Kluyveromyces lactis: one gene and its partner. The protein of the gene in region 2 interacts with the protein of the main gene of each other region in a pairwise test. Links are inferred from orthologs where the notes say so. Each region holds a gene or a part of one and is shown on either strand. Other genes may lie near its edges. The genes, in order: ARG1 and SHP1.

Region 1 (3,315 bases), on a different chromosome or scaffold from region 2:
CCTCATCTTTTGGATATTCTTTCAACCCTTTGTGAATATTCAAGATAGTGTCGAATACCTTTTCGGAATTTGGAGAAACTTGTCTGACAGTAATACGGGTACCGGCATGGGAAGCTTTGGACATGAAATGCGCGTAGTGCTGTTCCTTTGGAGTCAAATTTTCAAAATACTTCTTAGCAGAAAGCATCTGAATTGGTGCTCCCTTATCAGCGTAAGACATTGTTGAGAGTGATCTGGCCAGTGAGCGAAACAGTGTAGTGTAAGTATTAGGATACCTTGGTGTAAGTGCCACTCCTAAGTTCTTAATGTGAGATTAACAGATCTTTAGGGGTCACGATAAAAATTCATGTCAAGGCCATGTCGCGAAGGTTATCCTTTTCATTCACTTTTAATTACAGTCAGACTTTTTCATGTTTCGCCGGTCCAAGTGAAAAAAGCTACCAAAAACTGAAGAAAACTAAGAAGAAGGTTAATGAACAAATTGAAATAATCACCCGGGATAAAGTTTCAATGCCATTACTTGAAGTGCACGGAGTAAGTTAATTGAATAATTATTTTAAGATTAGTTATGTACACTATTAAACACGAGATTCTATTATTTATAATTTAGGGGTCTAAAGTTTAATTGAGAGTTCGTGACTGGGGAAATTGGATGATAGTTTTATAAAGTTAGTTCTTCACCCTTGGCAGCCTTGGATTCACCGTACTTTTTTACTCTGATCGCTTGAATAGCGATGAAACCGGTAGTGTCGGTTGGTTGGAAACCAGTCAATATATCCATAGAAGATTCATCAGGATTGTATAGGTTCTCAGTCTCTGAGTATCTGCCTAGCACAATGATGTTACCCTTGTATAGTCTCAATCTAACGGTACCGTTAACTGTAGATTGGGAAGGTTGGATCATAGATCTGATATATTCACATTCTGGAGTGAAGTATGAACCGTTGTACAACAATCTGGAGTAATTTGGAGTGACAAATTGATCTCTCAAGGCACGGACTTCTTTGTCCAAAGTCAAACCTTCCAAGTCAACGTGAGCTCTTCTCAAGACGGACAATGGAGCTTGTTCGTAACAACCTCTAGATTTCAAGTTGATGTAACGATTTTCAACGATATCGATTCTACCAACACCGTTAGCTCTAGCCAATTTCGCAGAAGTCAAGAAGATATCCAATGGTGAAGTAGCAGTAGTTTCTTTGCCAGAAGCGGCATCCTTGTAAGTCAACTTCACTGGCAAACCCTTTTCGAAAACGATATCCAAATCTTGTGGTTGATCTGGAGCATCTTCTGGACCAGTGATCAACTTCCACATATCGTTTGGAGGAGTTTGGTTTGGATCTTCTAGAATACCAGCTTCGTAGGAGATATGAGCCAAGTTCTCATCAGTGGACCATGGTTTAGAAGCGGTTTGGAACACAGGGATGTTCTTTTCGGCAGCATAAGCCAATAGATCTTTTCTACCAGCAAATCTGTCGAAGAAAGTTGGATCTCTCCATGGGGCAATGACCTTGACGTCTGGTTTCAATGCGTAGAAACCCAATTCGAATCTAATTTGATCGTTACCCTTACCGGTGCAACCATGAGAAACAGCGAAACAACCTTCTTGCTTAGCGACGTCGATTTGAGCCTTAGCGATAACAGGTCTAGCCAAAGAGGTACCTAACAGATAAACGTCTTCGTATACCGCGTTAACTTGAACAGCTGGGAACAAAACGTCCTTGACGAATTCTTCTCTGCAGTCAACTAGAACAAACTTGGTAGCACCAATTAGTAAAGCCTTCTTTTCAGCAGCTTCGAAATCTTCTTCTTGACCAACATTGGCCATGAAGGCAACAACTTCGTACCCTTGTTCTAACAACCAGGCCAAAATCACAGAGGTATCCAAACCACCGGAGTATGCCAAACAAACCTTACCTTTAGACATTATATTACTTTTAAAAATTCCTTGAATGCTCTTTGTATCTTTTAAAAACCACCAGATATGTGTGTGATATGTGATGTGTGATCTATACTTCAAACTGTAGTACACAATCAAATGGAGTTATAAACAAGAACTGAACAGAGTAGAACAGATTCTCACATTTTTTCACTTCTCATTTATATATCTTTTTTTCAACTGGAAAAATTTCATTCGTACTTTGATGCCCTCTCTGTGCTAGTCTCTTCACCACTCACTTATCTCTCTATGTTGTACGATCTCTACTGTGAAAAAATGACTCATATGAAATTATTACACTCTATACATTAATGGGCAGAAAATATACCGCTAATCGCGGCAAAGGCCAGATAAGCTCAGCAAAAACCCAAACAAAATGCCACTCCATAGCGTAAAACGAAGTAGCCTTTGTCAAGGGCAAAAACCTAGGCTCTGGGAATACCTGTTCTTCATAAAAGAGTGAGGAACTGCTTTGTATTTAGTTTGTGTGTAATGTATATACTTGATTGAGAAAGAAAAAACTCAAATGCTGTAAAAAACGTCAAAGTTCTTTGAATCTGAATCTATTTTAAAGGTTCTCCAGCTTAATTTGAATCATCAACATGTCCGGCACGGCTCGTACTAGATCGATGATTCAATCCACGTTTAATGGCTACAAAAACTGGTACAACTGTTGTTGTTTCTTGCACTGAAGTTGTGCCATATAACTATAGTTATTCTTCTGTTTGTTAATGGCAATTTTTCGCTGTTTGTGTTCACTAAGTGCAAGAGGAAACGAGAGTTGTTACCCGGTGATAGACAGTCACGTGATTGATGTTTTTTTTTTTTTTCCTTCTTTCTTTTCTTCCTTGATTCTCTTCCCACTTCCATCTCCTTTCATTCACCAGAATTTGCCATTCCTTGGTAAATATGGCTGAGAACTTGAAATTAGGTAACTAAGATGGAGCGAAGGAAAGAGAAATAAATTAAATTGTAAGAATCTATCTTTGTATCTTTCTTATAGTGAGTTAAGTATATGGTACAGATTACTCATTCCCACCGAAATAAATAAGGGGGACAAGTATGAATGTGAAATAGTTTATATTTATTATGTAGGAGAGGCGATTTTCTTTTGTTGACTGTTGAGAACTAGTGTACATGGATCTCTCTCTTGTTGAGGTTTTTGAATTGAAATTTAAAGTGTGTGTTGTGATGATGGATATTTTTATGTGTCTTGTCTATGACATAAAAGATTCCAAATGATAATAAATCAACAGTTTAACGGGTCCACCGTGCATGCCATTGAAATATTGATTTGATGGGAAGAAGATGGATCAGTTTCCCTGTTTAATGCTTCTTGACGTTGTAGTCGATACCTTCGAAGTCTTCGATCATGTCTG
Region 2 (3,365 bases):
ATTCCAAGAAGAAGTTGACTTGGATGTCTTGGTCCACGGTGAACCAGAAAGAAACGATATGGTTCAATTCTTCGGTGAACAATTGGAAGGTTATGCCTTCACCGTCAACGGTTGGGTGCAATCTTACGGTTCTCGTTACGTTAGACCACCAATTATTGTCGGTGACTTGTCTAGACCAAAGGCTATGTCCGTTAAGGAAGTCGTCTACGCTCAATCTATTACCCAAAGACCTGTCAAGGGTATGTTGACCGGTCCAGTCACTTGTTTGAGATGGTCTTTCCCAAGAGATGATGTTGACCAAAAGACTCAAGCTTACCAATTGGCTTTGGCCATCAGAGATGAAGTCTCTGATTTGGAAGCTGCCGGTATTAAGGTCATCCAAGTCGATGAACCAGCCGTCAGAGAAGGTTTGCCATTGAGAGCCGGTCAAGAAAGAACCGAATACTACAACTGGTCTGCTGAATCTTTCAGAGTTGCTACCTCTGTTGTTGCCAACAAGACTCAAATCCACTCTCACTTCTGTTACTCCGATTTGGACCCTAACCATATCAAGGCTTTGGATGCTGATGTCGTTTCTATCGAATTTTCCAAGAAGGACGATCCAAACTACATTCTGCAATTTGCTAACTATCCAAACCACTCTGGTCTAGGTTTGTTCGATATCCACTCTCCAAGAGTTCCATCCAAGGAAGAATTCATTCAAAAGATGGAAGAATTCTTGAAGTACTACCCAGCTGAAAAGTTCTGGGTTAACCCAGACTGTGGTTTGAAGACTAGAGGCTGGGAAGAAACCAAGGCTACCTTGACCAACATGGTTAACGCTGCTAAGCACTTCCGTGAAATCTACGCTAAGAAATAAATAGACTCGTGAGTTTGTAACAACACTCAAGCGTCTTTTTATCTATTATGCATTATTGGATTAAGGAACAGAATAAAAAATCAGCATTAACCAATAACAACTTTTATTTCATTTTAAGTGTCTTTCAATGCTTCAAGTGGTCTATTATTTCCAATGAATTGCTTATTGTAAACTGACACATAATACAAACGAAGATCTTATTTGATATAAGTTCTTCACGGATTCAACATCGGGCTTTACCTTTTACATCTTTTTTTTTTTGGTCTGTTTATTTATCCCATTTCTTCCGATCACATCACATTATTTCATAGACCTTAATGGCGAACTTCATCTTTGCTCATCATTCCAAAGATATTCAATCGTTAAAGGTCCCCAAATTATAAACTGTCATGAGTTATGTTTTTAATAATTAAATAACCTCTTGTATATTATAAACGCATTCAACATTCGTTTCAAAAAAAACATCAAACCACAACATTTCTGCTACAAACATAATATTTCCCCACAGTCTCAGTTACTATCCTGCCTAAGATGTCTGTGTTTATCATGTTACTTTCCTTTTCTTACAGATTCGTTTTAAAGGTTTTTCTATGAAAAGTAATGAACTTTCAAATTAAGACAATTTCATTTAGGTAGAGATGCCATAAGGAAAACTTGCCACTTGTCATGGCAAGATATTGCACTCCATTACGACGATACAATTACAATTGTAACACGATATAGAATCTGAGATACCACATACGATATTTACCATGTCTGACGAACAAATCCAGCAATTTGTCGCATTGACCAACACCTCAGTGAATGTCGCTTCAGATTATTTAAACCAGTTTGGTGACTTGGGAGAAGCATTGAATGCCTTCTATGCTACCCAACAGGATGAGCAAGAGCCTAAAACGAAAGCATCCTTTGAACAGCCGATTCCAAAAGCTGCTAGCCAGGGTGAATTGTCTAACTCCTCGGCGAAAGATGACGTTACATACGCAAGAACCTTGAGTGGCCAAAAGATTGCTTTACCTAGGTCAACACCTTCTCCATCGCAGAAACCCAAGTCTAAGTCTAAATTCCAATCCTTCTCTGATATATTGAAAGGAGGTGATGATGAAGATGAAGATCGGAACACTTTTGCTGGCGGTGAGACTTCAGGACTTGAAATCACCGACCCACACGCTAATGACTCTAATTCTTTAATTAGGGATCTTTTACAAAAGGCACGCAGAGGCGGTGAAAGAGCAGAACAGGAGGAAGAAGAGAATGAGGAAGCAGAAAGTAAGAAACATCATTTTGTTGGTAAAGGTTATAGGCTAGGATCCGATGTTTCTGCTCCACCAACAGTGGTTGAGGATGATACCCCGGTCGTATCAAAACCTAAAAAAGTGACAAGGGAAATTACGTTTTGGAAAGATGGATTCCAAGTCGGTGATGGCAAACTATATCGTTACGACGACCCAGAAAATAGTTTCTATTTGAAAGAACTAAACCAAGGAAGAGCTCCTTTGCAGTTATTGGACGTCGAATTCGGACAAGAGGTCGATGTCACGGTCTATAAAAAGTTGGAAGAGCCTTACGTTCCACCTAAGAGAAAAGTGAGTGGCTTCCAAGGAACAGGTAAGAGATTGGGCTCACCCATTCCTGGTGATGCAGTAAACTCTCAATCAGCATCGCCTGCCGAATCTACTCCAGTAGGGACTGAAATCAAAGAAAAATCGCCAGATGACGAGCTAAAGGGAGACACTAGTGTACAGATCAGATATGCTTCTGGGAAGAGGGAGGTGTTACGTTGTAACTCTACAGATACCATCAGATTCTTGTACCAGCATGTTAAAGCTAACACAGCAGAAATGCGCCCATTTACACTAAGCCATGCATTTCCCGTAAAACCCATTGACGAATTTGACTCCACTTTGAAAGATCAAGACCTATGCAATGCAGTGGTGGTCCAAAGATGGGTATAAATCTTAAATATAGTATAATTTTACAAAGATTATTACATATGTACAAGTTTAAATATACGGAGACAACCTAAATCCTTATATTTTCAGGATAGAGTTGTTTATGCAGTCGATGATTATTCCAACGATTTGAGAGATCGAAGTATCAGTAAAGCTTGAGATCACCAGTAATTTGGTCAAGGACTGCTTTCGGAGCAGGTCCCAAACCTAAAACAGTAGCACTTCCCGCTGCAATTTGTGTTCTACCAGCATCATGAACAACGTATGAGTTAACTCCTAATGCAATAGCCTTAGCGAAGAGCTCATCCATTGTTTCCTTATCTGGACATTTTAAAGTAATCTTTGCTTGACCTCTTGCCAACCATCTGTGAGTCATCTCCGGATTATATGAAGTTCTACTTGGATCACACGCAATAAGCCTAAAACAGGCTAATGCAGCATGACAACATTGAGCAGCGATTTTCCCTTTAGTCATTCCCAAATCTTGCCTGATAACCAAGGCCATCCTTACTTCACCAGGAATGTCATTTAGGCATATGGAATCTACTGCAATG

The links.
Region 1: the proteins of SHP1 (region 2) and ARG1 interact in a two-hybrid assay, tested with the Schizosaccharomyces pombe proteins (2 studies listed by BioGRID). The link is inferred for Kluyveromyces lactis from reciprocal best matches to the Schizosaccharomyces pombe genes ubx3 and arg12.

What each region holds. Positions count from the first base shown.
Region 1 is NC_006039.1:366,236-369,550, reverse strand, and holds ARG1 (argininosuccinate synthase), read right to left. Parts: upstream 1,925-3,315; coding exon 662-1,924; downstream 1-661. Other genes in the region: KLLA0_C04059g (dipeptidyl-peptidase III), read right to left, coding at 1-220; KLLA0_C04004g (glycerol-3-phosphate dehydrogenase family protein), read right to left, coding at 3,263-3,315.
Region 2 is NC_006041.1:1,783,500-1,786,864, reverse strand, and holds SHP1 (protein phosphatase regulator SHP1), read left to right. Parts: upstream 1-1,611; coding exon 1,612-2,814; downstream 2,815-3,365. Other genes in the region: MET6 (5-methyltetrahydropteroyltriglutamate-homocysteine S-methyltransferase), read left to right, coding at 1-859; PTH2 (aminoacyl-tRNA hydrolase), read right to left, coding at 2,957-3,365. UniProt on the Schizosaccharomyces pombe protein: Involved in CDC48-dependent protein degradation through the ubiquitin/proteasome pathway. Involved in delivery of substrates to the 26S proteasome. Also required for membrane fusion and sporulation.